Alligator mississippiensis: one gene and its partner. The protein of the gene in region 1 interacts with the protein of each later gene in a biochemical or structural test. Links are inferred from orthologs where the notes say so. Each region holds a gene or a part of one and is shown on either strand. Other genes may lie near its edges.

Region 1 (7,707 bases):
GCTGTTCTACAAGGCACACACACTGGAGCTGGAGTGGTGGTTCTGGCAGCAGCACTACCTGTAGGTGTGCCAACTGACTTGGGACTAAGTTGGCAGAGCGGGCAGGAGGTGTGAGGGCTCCTGTCAAAGCACAAGGGAAAGATCCCCTTGTGACTCCCTGGTGGGGAAGGGGGCAACACAGCATGGGCAGGGCCTTTGCTTGCCTCTCACTCGAGGTGGGTTTGCTGGCCAGACAATGCAGTCCTGCAGGGGTGGGGTGACTCACTGCCTGCCTGGGATTCAGGTGCCCTTAGGAGCCCACACTGGGGCTTCCACCCAGGACAGCAGGCAGGACTGCATCTGTTTCAGCACCTGGCATGGCTTTTTCTGCTTCTCCCACCTCCTCCCCAGGAAAGTGCATAGCTGCCCTGATGGACACTGCCCATGGGGCTCTGCATGGTTCAGCCTGGGCTGGCTAGGAGCAACGTGGGCAGAGGCTAGGCTCTTTCTGGACTGCCTGATCCATGGCTGAGCCTCCACCTGCATTGCATCCAGCTTGCCTGGGCTGAGCCATGCAGAGGCCCCAGGAGCTCATGCCACATCTCTGATGAGCAGTGTCCAGCAGGAAGGCCAGGCTCTTGCCTGGGGAAGAGGTGCGTGGAGCAGGGAAAGCTGTGCCAGGTGCTGGGGGCAGATGCAGTCCCAGTCTGCCTGCTGTCCCAGGTGGGATCCCAGAACAGGCTTCTAAGGGTGCCTGAATCCTGAGTGGGAAGCAAGGCATCCTACTCCTGCAGGGCTGCATTGCTTGGCCAGCAAATCTGCTCCAAGGCATGGGAGAGCCACTAGCAAAAGCCCCGTCTGTGCTGCGCTGCCCTCTTCTCCCCCCCAGGGAGCTGCAGGAGGCCTCTCTCTTATGCTCTGACAGGAGCCCTCGTGCCTTCTCTGCCAACTTAGTTCCATGTCAGTCAGCACGCTGACAGGTACTGCTGCTGCTGGAACTGGCACTCCAGCTCCAGTGTTTGCACCTTGCAGAACAGCACTCGCCGTGTCTTCTTCTTGATGGTATCCAGCAGCAGTGCAGAACACCACAGGCTTGGCTCCAGCTTGCTGTCATCCAATGCTAGGGAGGCAGGAACATGGGGAGGGAGTTAGGGCCGGAGCTAGGGCCAGGTCCAGGTCTGAGCCAATCACATCTGGGAGAACTGGAGACTCTCACTCCCTTGGCCAGCACTGGGCTGCACTGCTCAGCTATGCTGCCATGGACTCCTGTGGACTATCCAGGGTGCTGCCCAGGGCAGGTTGCCAATGCATTCAGTCAGCAATCCGCATTCAGGTTCCTTAAGGTGTGCATGTGTAGCCACACATCTAAATCACTTTAATGCGCCTTAGGCTAAGGTGCATTAAGTTTAGGCACGCATAAATTCATGTGTAGACATGCCCAGCATGTATTTTATATCTGTTTGCATAATTGATTATAAGTTATAACTTCCCATTATATGTTTTACAACCTATAGTTCCATATGCACAAGCTAAATTATTTCTCTTATTGATATGGTATTAAAGATATGAGTGATATTACTCTTTCATCAAAATTGGAATATCTAGCTAGGACATAGTCAGAATTATAGAATAGAGAGTGTATCAATCATGATATCTACTAAATAAATAGAATCCAATTACTTGGAAGATAATTATTTATTGAAGTATAAAAACAGGTTTCACCATTTTTTTTTTTGATGAAAGAACAAATAATACTTCCTGTTCATAACTTTCATAAAGGAAATATGAACTTTTAAATAAAATTTAACTATCAAATTGACAATAGTAAGCAGCCTGGAAAAAAAATTAGTTTTTTCAGTTGAATCTGTGACAAAACATATTTTTATTATTTTTCAAAGATAAAGCCACTTTAGGCTCTGACATTTCACATGCATGAGGTATAACTGTGTGCAGGTCTGTCACCTATTGTGAGACTGGAAGCAGTTGTAGCCATGGAATGTGAGATGTCTGCAGAAGACTGAGAAATGTTTGTTGAATTGCTGGATGGAGTAAGAGTCGTGGATGGTAACGTGGAGGCATGCAAGGGTGATGGATTAGAATAATCTGCAAGGAAATGAACAGAACAAAATACTATTAAGAGATTCTCTCCGCTTGTCTGTGTGTTCGTATTAAAAGTGTATCTTTCCTGTTGGGTTTTTTTGTTGTTGTTGATATCTTATCACAACAGATGAAGGACAGAGTCATAAATAAGGCTTTATTAGTCTTTTCATTTAGAAAACCAAAAATATTAACTGTAATTTAAAATAACCTCAGATGTCCACATAATATATTAAATCCTGACATCATTAGTGAGACAAAAATTCTAACTAAATCAATTGGAATTCAGCCATCATAATGGCTTCATAATTTGTCCTTCTCTCAAATTAGGAAAAATAATAATTCTTATTCCTTACCATAGTACCAAAAATCTGCAAACTCTGCCAAACTTACTTCCATAGGAACCATTTTTCTCACCTCCAAGTGCTTGTATGATCAGAACTATAATCTCAAAGTACTATAGATACCACATTTTAATTAGAAACTACTAATTCTATTCAGTTTTTTTATGGGCTCACTTCTGCAATCCTTGCTCTTGCAAAATTGTTGTTGAATGCCTAGGAGACTTGTGAGAAAAATGAATGCAAGATCAAGCCATAAGATACAATCTGGAAATAAAATGCAGAAGCCCATTTTTTGGGCATTAATTGTGCCATGTATTAACACGGTCATGCTTTGCTGAGGAAGAGCTGTTTTAAGAATTACTCCACTCTCAACCCATATAGAACTCCTCCCCATGAACAAATCAAGACAGGACTACTGACAACCTGGGACATCTAAAGGAATACAGCAAACCTGATGATTTATGTATGGTGGTAGCAGAAGTGTGTGCGGTAAGGGCAGCAGAGCTGCTGAGTGTCTGATTGCTGGTTCCAAATGAAGAGCTTGAGTCTGCATGAGTGGTAGTATATGAGCTGCGTGTTGACATGATACCTGTAGCAAGGAAGTACAATTATTTTTGTTAATGTTTCCCAATATACTATATGCAGAAAATGATAGTGCCATGTAAATTAAGTTGCTGTACTTGGAAAAAAGTACTAAAAGGAAGGGAATTGAGGTCTGACTTCAGGTCATAAACATACTTGAGCTCACCTTGAAGTAGCTAGCCTGGTTATCAGTAACAGTATAGTCATGGGAGCATGAAGAAAAGCATAAGGTGTAAAACCAATCACAGACACTGGGTAAATAAGCAATTATTCTGTGTTCAGCCTTGTGCTAAATGCACCTACACTGCTATCACTCCCTGAGCTACATGGCTTAAAGGCAGCTTGGGGATGTCAGACCTCTGAGTAAAGTACAGGCATACCCTATAAGATGCATGGTTATACAGTATTAGCTCTTCCTTTATTTTGGTGGGCAATCAATTGTATTTAGTTTGTAGCATAAAAAACAACTGGCAAAAATAGAAAAATACAATGTAAGCAAAGTTATTGGAAATATAAAGCTTTTACAAGCTCAGCACCTAAAGTTCTGAGTGCTCTGTTCTTATTAACTGACTTCTCTTGCTGAAGTCAAAGGTGAAACTTCCATTTAGCTTCAGTGGTATCAGGATAAGGCAGAATGTGCCATCTATTTTGTGAAGTAGTTGGGTGCGTACACACGTACTAAGTCAACTTAAAATAAAGTGACTTAAAGTTGCCTTAACTAAGATGATTTAAGTTAAGCCACATTGAAGCATACACACACACACACACACACACACACACACACACACACAGCTCCTTGACACCTTGCACTTAGAGTCAACTTAAATAATGCAACTCAAGATGATACACCTTGGAGCTGTATGATCTTGCACCACATTTAAGTCAACTGTGCTCCCTATATGTGCTTATGCTCTAGCAATTAAGTCAACTTGAAAAAGTTAAGTCAACTGTCAGAAAGTTAGGGCATTTATACACATACATTTGCCTGCTCTGATGTGCTGGATTTTGTCAAAGCAGACTCAATTCATCTATTTGACAGCTACTTCACACCAGATTAATCAAGTCTGCTCTGCATACAAGCTGGCACACCCAGAGCTGTGTCACATGCATTTGTATAAATGGTGAAATGCATGTCAATGCTGAGAAAATGGTGGTGGTGAGCTTTTGAACTAAAACACTTTCAATGTCTTTTAGTTTAAAAGTGTGCTATTTTCTCAGTGCTAACGCGCATTTTGCTCTTTATAAAAATGCATGCGCCACAGCACCGTGTGCTTTTAAAAGCACCCAGAGCTCTGGCACAAGCATGTGTACAAATGCCCTTTGTACTTGTGTATGTACCCAATGGGTGCCATGCACAAAATAATTTATTTTTAACAATCATTAAAAAAAAACAAGTATGAACTTATCTAAAGCTCATTTAAAGCTAGTAAGACAATTTGTCCAGTCATATCTGAGCAAAATCATTAAGTCAAAATTGCTTCTTAAATCCTATTAGAGACATCTATGCAATTAGTTAAGTGATTTGCTCAAGTGCACAAAACCCAAAGAGTGGCAGAATTAAGAAACATTCAGTATACACAACACCTTGCATTTTTTAATGCATGCCCCTTATAGGGGGAATAAATGTGGGAATAACTGAAATTTTCTAGAATGTTAGGGAAACAGGTGGCACTTGTAAAGAGAAAAGTTTTCTTCCCTCATGTTTGAGACAAGACTATAACCTTTCAATCCATGCATGATTTAAAAGAAATATGACCTCAGGACACCAAAATCATACTAAGATGTCCTTTGGGATTGATGAGTTGGCAAAGCACTTTGTATGGTGTACATATATCTTAAGTCAGCTGTGAAGTAGATATATTCTTTTTAAGATACAAGTGTAAATAAAAGACTATAGAAAATTTGGAACTTGAGTTTCCTATCATCAGTGATGGAGGGAAAGGAATCATCAGAATAATATGGTGCATAGAAAACATCACTAACTGTACTAATGATATTGGTGAGCTCCCAAGGAACAACCTACAATAGCCTTGGTGAAATCAGACATTATGTAAGATATACAATACAGATTAGATTCTGATATACTTATTCACAATGCAGTAAACATGAATCAAAATGAGTAAGGGGGACTACACATAGTGTGATATTGTTAAAACATCATTCAAAGGTTCAAATACAAGTCTGTCACAGTATGATTCCAAAAACAGCCAATTTAAGATTATATTAATTTTTTAGGTTTTGTAGTTACTCCTCTTAAAATGTGTTAATCGAATTTCTATGTTGTATTAATATTACTCCTACTAAAATTTTAATGTGATTTTATGCTACTAATTTGAGTGGTAAAATGGATTGATCTGAGTGAACTTAGGATCACAGTTGTTAGAAGTTTAAATTAAAATGTAATTAATTTTCTTGAATTATTTTGTAAACCTTGGTAAAAGTTTGAGGGAAGAAAAATGTGAAAATACTATCCAACATTATAACAAAACCAAGTAACTATGAGCATTTTGCTATGTATTGTAGTAGATGTCATTTCAGAACCTACCATGCTCTAGTATTAATTACATATATTACATTTCTGCTTAGAGGCCAGGACTTTGTTGTCTTATATGATGTACAAACATATAAAAAAAATCCTTACCTGAAGAGCTTATTGTCTAATGAATAATGCAGTATCTGTGAAATACTTATTACACATTCAGAAACAAGAAAACTTATTCATCTGTCCCTTCTTTATAAATTGATTCATGTTATTTTCATTCCACATTTTCAGTGTTCTAAATGTAAAGATATTAAACATTCCAGAAGATAAAACTAAATTAACTGTCTTATTAGTAATTAACAACAATATAATACAAGCTAATTTCACTAAGAAGTAAGGTAGTGCTGTAATGAAAAAAAGAAGAGAGTTGTCTTACTAGGTGTAGTAGACATTTCAGCTTGACCTAAAAGAGATAAAATAAGGGGTAAATGTCAAAAGAAGATTAAGCACTTTTGAGTCCATACATTAAAAATCAATCAATCCTGATTCAGCAAACAATTTTTTGCTTTTGCATCTTAATTCAACAGGAAATGTAAGCATGCATTTAATTTTAAGCATTTGAGTAGTCCCATTAAACACAATGAGTTCACTTGCAAGGTACAAGAACAATGCACACAGTAAACTCCTTAGTGGCTGTTGTTCATTAGGAAATAATCTAATACCCATCCCACTGTTTACATGTCATCAAAGGCTCTGAACATGTTTCAAAAGTGTGCCACTGCTCTACAAAACTTAAAGTCTGAGAACTGGAAACTGATAGATCAGATATGTAAATGGTAAAAGGTTGCTACCTGTCACTTTGCAATATCGTTTTTATATATTTTCATTTGTTTAGAAGCATTAGTTAATATTTGATTCAATTTGGCAATAAAAACTAAGTATATCCTTTTAACATTAACAAGTTACAATATAATGGAATAAGTCAGATCCTCAGATGACGTAAATTATCATATGTCCACTGAAGTCAAAGCAAGTATGCTAATTTAAAACAATTGGAAATCCATTCATCATCATTAATGCCATACTTTCAGTTCTTAGTTGGGAGAGGAGAATTGGCGTTTCCTCCCCAGACTTATACTGATTGTTTTTTGACTTACCCTGATATCTAGATATATTTTTTATATTGTTAGGCATTCAACCTATGAACTAAAGTTAGGCAGTTATAAACTAGATTTGACAAAATATAATTTGACCTATTCAAAATTTGATTTTGAACTAGGGCCATATTTGATTACCCCTGCTCAGGACACGAATACAGGAGTAGTCCCAGTGAAGTAAGTATTTAAATTAATTTAGTAAGAACAACAAAATCTAGGTCTGTTTTTGTTTAAATATCATCCCAAGTTCAGATGGTAGCCAGCCAAGCTCTATGGCAATGAACAAATGCATTAAAAAAAAAACAATTTTAAAAGAAGATTATGTTACACTTCCATTTTTGTAGTTGGGAATTGTAGTCTACTTTTTACCCTATATTACACTTACATATTATGTAAAGTTATATATTATGGTTTTTGATTGGTCCCAACCTACTAAATTCATAGACTTCATAGACATTAGCGCTGGAAGGGACCTCGGAAGATCATCGAGTCCAGCCCCCTGCCCAAAGGGCAGGAAGTCAGCTGGGGTCATAAGGATCCCAGCAAGATAAGCATCCAGTTTGCTCTTGAAGGTGTTCAATGTAGGTGCTTGAACCACCTCCGGTGGCAGGCTGTTCCAGACCTTGGGGGCTCGGACAGTAAAGAAATTCTTCCTTATGTCCAGCCTGAAACGGTCTTGTAGTAGCTTATGACTGTTCGACCTAGCCATCATCCCTAGGAGCGCTCTGGTGAACAAATGTTCCCCCAGATACTGGTGGTCACCCCTGATAAACTTGTAGGTGGCCATCAGATCACCCCTGAGCCTGCGCTTTTCCAGGCTAAAGAGCCCCAGGGCTCTCAGCCTGTCATCGCAGGGTCTGCTTCCCTGACCTCTGATCATGCGCGTGGCTCTTCTCTGGACTCTCTCAAGCTTCTCCACATCCTTTTTGAATTGTGGAGCCCAAAACTGGACGCAGGACTCCAGCTGCAGCCTCACCAAGGCTGAGTATAAGGGGAGAATGACGTCCCGGGATTTGCTTGAGAAGCATCTATGGATGCAAGCCAGAGTTTTGGTAGCTTTACTAGC
Region 2 (7,725 bases), on another chromosome or scaffold:
ATGTCATAGGCTCCTCCCCCTCAAAATGTGCCTGCTTTGGCTGGAGAGGAGGCAAGCTCCAGCCACGAGCTGTTTCAGGAGGAAATACAGACAAGGGTGGGGGAAGGGGAGTGGGGAAGAAGTGATCAACCGGGCTGGGCCAGAGGCTCTTTGCCAGCTGTGGTTCCTCGCCCATCCTGGGAGACGATGAGCGGTTAGAACCCGCAGATAACGGCCCTGGCACAAATCTACTGACCCTCGTGTCAGAGCCGAGACCGAATCAATACCAGAGGCAGCTGATCCCCTCCCCTTCCCCCCTCCAAGCTAGTGGATCCTGAAAGGTTAACTGCCTGTAGGGCAAAGGCAACACAGAAAAGGCGTAGTGTGGAGTCCTCCCCTCTGCCCACATGTCTGGAGGTCCGGCCTGCAGAGAGGGCCAGGGAGGAGGCCAGAGAGTGGCATTTCTGACATGGACGCTGCTGCCGGCCTTGAGAGAGAGATGGGAGCAGATTCTCTTGCATGTGGGTGGGAATAGGCTTAACGTGGGAAGCTGACTTCAGCCTTAACATGGGCAGATGGCCTAGGAAAGGGGGAGGGGTCTGTGCTGTCCATGAACACAGGCAGCTTCCGTGGTTCCTCCCACCTCCCCTGCTAAGCAGCCACAGGTCATCACTATGGATGCAAACGGTCCAGGAATAGGACTTTGATTCTCCAGCATCCTACCAGCTTCTCCAGTGGGTCTGAAGCCTGCAATCATTGGGCTAGGTCCCTACCTGATTTATTCCATTACTTGCTCCAGGGCAACTGGTCCAACACCCAGGGATGTCAGCAGAAAGATGCCCGCTGGCTTCGCTGGGCTTTTGGATGCAGCCAAGAACACCAGATCACAAGCGATTCCCCAACGGCTCTGCTGAACTCAATACAATGAAATTGTACTGCAGCAAGATACCCCCCGCACAGATGCCTTGCTTTTGTGAGGGGCAAATCCACAAACACTGCCTGTGTCACAGGTTGGCCGCCCCTGCAATAAGCTAACTAAATCAGAGATGTGCAAGCTTTCAAAAACAATGGCCTGCTTATTTTGGAGGCTCAGAGTTCACAGCCTGAAGAGCCACAGTCGACATATAAAAGCTGCTTATTTCTACAATTGCTGTTACTATCTCCAGGGTCGCAGGGGCTGTCCTGTACCAGGCTGGGGTGCCCTTAGGTCAAGAGTGTGATTCCTACGGGTGCCTGGAGGAAGGGGGCAGCCTCTCCTCTCCACTGTAAGGACCTTGCCACAGTCACCTATGCCTCTGTCACCTGGCAGCAACGGAAGCTCCCAGCGCTGCTGCATGCTGAGATTAGCACACAGTGCCGCAGGGGGATTCCCGGGGGGAGCCACACGTCAGGAGCACACCACTGCCCTGCTCCGAGAGATGCCCCCACCTGCCGACACACATCCAGGTGAAACTCAAAGATGATCCTGTCTCGAGCAGGGGGCTGGACGAGGTGACCTCACAAGGTCCCTTCCAGCCCTACTTTCCCATAAACTCAAGGCACCAATGCAAAGCTTTACGCTTCAGGACCTGGTTCCCTATGAAATCACAGCTCTCTCCCAGCTGCTGACTGCTATCTGACAAAGCTGGGACACTCTAGGAGAAACCTCAACCCTGGGGCTTGCTCCTCACTTGCTCTACTGGAGCCTGAATTAGTGGCATGCTGGAAGGCTTCCTTGCCAAGGCTTGTAGAGTGGGGGGGAGGTGGGGAGGTAGAGTTTAGGGCTAGGTGGCAGGTGAGGAAGGTTATTTAAAACATCCCCCTCACTAACTGGCGAAAACCTTCTGTGGATCAAGGGGGAAGGTGCAGCCCCTTTCCACTGTATTTCCAAAGATGGTGCCTACAGAGGGGAACTTGAAACCATGCTTGCAACCTGTACACATGCAATACCACTCAAGTGCAGCCATTTCTGGGGAGGAAGGCAACCGCCAGTCTAAGCCCAGCTGGCCTAGGGGAGGAAGGAAGGAAAGGCAGCCAAGCACAATCAAGCCAGCCTGATGTTTCCATCATGCCAGGAGGATTTCTCCCATCACTGCAGCACAGACTGGACCACAGCCGCCAAGACTGACCACAGAGCCGAGCCTCACGGAACTTGCATATCCAACCGAGGGGAAAGTGGACGAGCGCAACCGGCTGCAATTCCTGACTGCCAGTCAATGGAGGGGGGGTCTCTGGACTCAATTCTCATCGACCTGACTCTGGAAACAAAGAGGGAGGGTCCGAGCGAGCAGAAGCCGCGAGGCTTGGGCAGGAGCCTCAGCCTTAATGCAAAGGAGACTCGGGCGACAGGAGTTTCAAACCCAAGGCTTAGCCAGCTGCTCAGCCAGATGCCCTGCTCAGCATGTTCCCCCACACATCAGAACCAGGAGGAATCATAGTCACCCCCACAGATCCCATCCCACAGCTGGTCCGATCTCCCTCGTCACCCTGCACCTGCTTCTTCATCCCACAGCACAGCAGATGTGAACCCTGTGATTGCTGGCGGGTGGGGTGGGGGGTAACCCAAGTGACAAGCCCAACCCTCCATCCCCCTCAAAACTGGCCACCCCTGCCCCCAGCACACACACACACTCTCCCCTACACTCCTCCTCATCACTGCCTGCAGCAGAGAGACCAGGGATCCACCCCCGCAACCACCACCACCGACTGACCTGCACAGCCATTGAAGCCACAGGCTATAACAGAGCCTTTCTCTACAATGGTGGAGGCTGCTGGGATCTACGGTGGCATGAAGGCTGCCTGGGCCAAACGCCATCGCACCAGGCAGAGGACTGGAGCAGATCCTAACCATGCAGTGCTGAGCCTCTGCAGCACGGGGCCCAGCCAGCAGCCTTTCAGCCAGTCTTAGTTATTTATGCCTTTCCAAGGTGGGTCAGGGCCAGGGGGGAGGTGGTATGGGGGGGATACAGTGGGGAGGAAGAAAGAGAGGGAAAGAAAAACTTACAAGACCAGAGCAGAAGCTGAGAAGCATCTTTGGTTACATAACAGGAGAGCAGAGAAGCAAAGGAATCAGTGAGACGGTGGCTGCCGGGCTCCACTGAGAGATCCCCGCTTCTCTTTCATCTCCTGCAGTTCCTCCAGTCAGAGAGGGGGACGGAGGGGGGAAGAAGGGGGGAAAAAACCCCCACAGTGCCTGATGCAAAAGGAAAATCCTGCACCAAGAGCTGAGGTTGCAATCACCGGGAGCTGAGAGCACAGTCGCTCCGGTCCATCCGCCTGTGCGCTTGGCGGCCAGATGCTATCGATTCCTAACCCCACCGCAAGGGCAGGGAGTGCGGAGGAGCGGCAGGGAGGGTGGGGGGGCGTGCGCATGGGAAACAGTGCATTTTCATTTCAAACCCAGTTCACAACTTTGCTGCACACAATAAGGAAATCATAGCGTAGGCTCCCTAGGCAGCCTAGCTCCCGGGTCTGTAGGGACCTCCCCTGGAGCTGATCTCCCTCTATAGGAGGGAGGGGAGGCAGGCAGAGCACAAGATGCTTTGACAGTGGGTGAATGTAGCACTGTTTCTGCCAGTTTGGTTTTGTTTTTTTAAAGCCACCGGACAAATCCCACTGGATTATCCCTAGTCCGCCCCTCGGCTGATTCACAACTGTCCGGCAGTGGCTACGACCGTAGATTCTACTTCTCCGATGGCCGCGTCACCCACTCCCAACCACAGCCCATTCCACAAGATACAGCCAGGCCTGAAAAAAACTCAGCAACCATCAACTAGCCAGCAGATCTGACCTGCTAGCCGTGGGTTGGGAAAGAAGTCCTACCAACAAGAGAGAAATCCTGCTCCCACTCCCAGCAGCTGGGGAGAGGGGATGCGTGGGAATTCCTATGCAGAGGCTGTCCCTGGCCCCTGCTCGAAGCAGACTGAAGTGGGAAATGGAGTGATCAGAGGTGACCCCTCACCCAAGCCAGGGAGAAAGCACTGATGTCTGTCGCTCTTCACCCTGCTAGCTGATGCCTCAATTATACAGGGCCTCATCCTTTGTATCCCCCACTCGGCTTGTCCGCAGCTGTTGGCTGGAAGGAGCGACTATCCTTGTGGCTCCAGGCCTCCTCACTCTCTTGATGGCTGGGTACATGCTGACCTGCCCCCGTACCTTGGCAGCTCTAATGAAAGTGCCCACATCTTCTGCCCACCTGCCATCCCCACTCCACTGTTCAAATCCTCCCATGCAGCAAGCAGGCCTAGGACTGGTTTCTGCTGCTGCTTAAAGGTCACCCTCCCACAAGGGAAAGTCTACTGGGTTTCACACCTTTCCTGCCTCTACAAGGAGGACTAAAACTGATCAAAGTCTCCTGGGTTTCATTCTGCTGCTGGGCCAGGTTGGGAGCTGCAGCTGCACCGGAGTGGTCTCTGCCCTCAGAGGCAAGGAGGCAGCACTCAGATATGACAGGTCCTTCCCAGAAGACAGAAGCCTTCCTTGTAAACCAGGGCTGCCAAGGTTGCCTGCCCCCTTCCCCGGGGAGGATCAGGATGACAGGCCAGATCTGGACCCACCCCCAGAAGCAGAGCAAGGGTTAATGCAGCCATCATTCACCCCACAGCCACTCTCACACATCCCCAATTGGGCTCCGTACCCCAGAACTCAGCAACGGGCCCTACCCTCACTCATCCCCCAGCCCTATTCCCTGCCCCTCCAGAAACCCTGCAGGCCAGTTGTTAGACGACCCCCCCCACCCCATTCTAGACAAAAAGCTTAGCAGTCAAGACCTGGACCCTATGAATATTCCTGATAACCCACCCTACTTAACACCTGGGGTGATCTAACCCTAAGTGACCAGATCCCAATATCAGACATTTCCTAATGCTCAACTTATATTTCCCCTTCCTGAATGAAATGAAACTGAACTTAGAAAAAAAAGCCTCAACGCACAGCAAAAGATTGTATCTGCTGCCATAACACGCAATGCCCACAATTACCATAACTGAAAGAAAAAAAGAAAAAACAAAAGAAGAATGTTTTTGCTTGATCGGTTGGGCTGTGCGAGTTTCACAGCGCGGGAAATATACAGTGGGTTTTGATGCCCCTCTCTTTTCTAGTCAGGGTCTTGGTCTCGTGGAAAGGACTTTTTCCGCAAGGAGAAAGAAAATTTGGCAGAAAGCTGATGTTATTGGATGCCTATAATAACAGGAACTATTCTGGGACAGGTGCTTTAAACTCAGCCCACCTACACCTGATTTTTTTTTCCTCTGGTATATTTTTAGCTAATCTATGCACCTCAGCTCAGGCCTGGGGTTCAGGCAGGTTCTAACCAACCAACCCCAAAATCACAACATCCCAAGCCATGATTGGCACAGGGTTGCTATTTCTCCACTAAAGGATCACACCAGTATAACCAGTGTCAACATCTATCCTTCCTTCCCCCCAAATGTAGGCTAGCACCATGCGTCCAACTCCGTAAGTCTAGTCCGTGTGCAGTGCGAGGACCAGTTGAAGGGCACTGCCTGGGAAATTACTTGAATGAAATCTCGCAAATGCCCCGTTCTTGTAAATCAGGCCAAAAGTATCTTCCACTGGTTTCGCTTCAGCTTTGCAATTCAGTCAAACGGAGGCCCAAACTGCAGGCAGGCTACCTCTGAGGTTTAAAAGCTTTGCAACCCAGCCAAAGAGAGCTGAGCAAACTGAACTGAAACTGTGCCTTCGACTCAGCCAGCACCGACAGGGGACTGCCGCGCACAACAGAACTCGGGCTCTGACGTGATCTGCAATACAACGGGGGCAGACAGACAAGACGGTCTCTTTGTTTCGTGGGATAAGCCAGCCCCATCGGGTTCCAAACAGCTTGGGTCATCTTATTTTCTTTTATCCCCAGCTTTACCATGCGAGAGAACAGTAACTGAGCTTCACACGTGCTGGGACAGCGAGTTTCACCATAGAGGGAAGCAGTGAAGGTTGACAGTTTACACAGATAAGAAAGATTCACTTCCTTTACTGTTTACCCTATGCTTTTCCGCCCCCCAAACACTCCCCCCCCCCACCCCTGCCATCTCCAGAACTGTATGAATGACAGCAACTACAAAAGCAGTATCACAGCTTGAGTTTTAGCCATATGGATCTGCCCCAAATGGGTTAGATCAGCGATTCTCAGCCACGGTGCTGCAGTACTCTGGGGTGCCATGAGATCTTTTCAAGGGTGCTGTGGGATGCTGTGCCATATTAGCACCCTTAGGTGTGTGAACACCTACACAAGATTCACAAGATAAACCCAGAGGTTTCAAACAGGGATCCAGGGTGTCAAAGCCGTTCCTCCCTGCCGTGGGCTTTCCGAGTCCCTTGCAACAGAAGAACTGCTCTGGTATTTTTCAGACAAGGTTCTTTGGGTAAATCCAATATCTTTTATTAGACCAACTCAAATAGTTGGAAAAAATTCTTCTTAGCAAGACACCCTTCATCAGGCTGAGGAAGCATTTTTCCACATTCAAGAAATGAGTGAAAGCCAAGAGCTGCCATTTTCTGAGGGGGTCCTCAAGTCTGATTGAAGGGTGTTTTGAGTCTACCAAAGTTGAGAACCACTGGGTTAGACAGTTATTGCCAGCTGCAACCATTACTATTCTAGTCTTCCTACCCCCTTCGCTACAGGGCAGTGGTGCTGAACGAGTAGTAGCACTGATGGGAAATTGTTACAGAGGGGAAAAGAGGCCAGCCACAGACTCAGCCCTGCACCCTGTGCTGATTGTCTGGGGGAACCCCCCAGAGCAGCTAGATTTGAAAACCTTAAACACATACACAGAACCACACACACACAGAACAAAATACAGCCATGGGGCAGGCAGGGGCAGCTCCACCAAAGTCATCAGGTGGAGGAAAAATAGGCAACAGCTGGGAAAGTTGCCCCCTGCAACCCACAGTCATCAGGGATCAGACGGAGGGGGCCAGGCCACCTTTGGCCTTACCAATCACCAGCCAAGGGGTCAGTAGCTATTCTCCTGAACTAAGACCACTTGTTCCCTCAGATTTCCTCACACCCCATTGAATTTTAAAGGTGGATGGGATTTTTCTCTCTTTTCAACTCCAGAGCCAAGAACACCTCCGAGAAAGAGTCACACAAAAGCAGGGAAGGGACCTCACCAGGCCATCTACTCCAGCCCCCTGCTCAAGGCAGGATCAACCCTGAATAAACCATCCTGGGGCGAGTGTTGTGTCCCACTGCACACTCAACATTTTTCCAGAGTTCCCTCTGTATTAAAAGGGTCATAGACCGGCAGTCCCTTGCATCTACCTGGAGGCCCTGGCAACTCCAAAGGGACCCAGCACTAGAAGAAAGCAAACAAAAGAGAATGAAATAAAAGGCCTGAATTAAAATGAACAAGCTTGCATGGGGATGAGGGTGAATTCCATGCTTTGAAGCACCAGCCCAATCAGCAAAGGTGTAAACCTTTGCTGGAGTGAACAATGGGAAACCTGAAAAGAGAAATAGGCTGGAGGCAACTGCTGGTTCCATGGAGCATGGTACCCCTGGTACCTGTCCGCCAGCATAGCCAAGGCTCCACACCAATTCTCCACACCAGCACATGTACCGTAGGGGTGGAACATGGAAAAATTCCTTCCTGACCCCTGCCTATGCCCTGAAGCCCGAGGGTCAATTCTTCCTCTGCCTGAGCCACCCCAAACCACCAAGGTCACACAGTTATCCGGCCCATTTCATTCCAACCGCACCATTTGGCTATTTGATTTCCTGCCAAACAGCCTGGAATTCCACGGGCCAGC

Evidence for each region. The genes of interacting proteins can lie anywhere in the genome.
Region 2: of the proteins of PTPRC (region 1) and CSK, one has a biochemical effect on the other in vitro, tested with the Homo sapiens proteins (2 studies listed by IntAct). The link is inferred for Alligator mississippiensis from reciprocal best matches to the Homo sapiens genes PTPRC and CSK.

The regions. Positions count from the first base shown.
Region 1 is NC_081828.1:67,012,406-67,020,112, reverse strand, and holds the start of PTPRC (receptor-type tyrosine-protein phosphatase C), read right to left. Parts: upstream 3,020-7,707; 5' UTR 3,005-3,019; coding exon 2,872-3,004; intron 2,083-2,871; coding exon 1,942-2,082; intron 1-1,941. UniProt on the Homo sapiens protein: Protein tyrosine-protein phosphatase required for T-cell activation through the antigen receptor. Acts as a positive regulator of T-cell coactivation upon binding to DPP4.
Region 2 is NC_081834.1:41,574,560-41,582,284, forward strand, and holds the start of CSK (tyrosine-protein kinase CSK), read right to left. Parts: upstream 3,005-7,725; 5' UTR 2,990-3,004; coding exon 2,963-2,989; intron 1-2,962. UniProt on the Homo sapiens protein: Non-receptor tyrosine-protein kinase that plays an important role in the regulation of cell growth, differentiation, migration and immune response.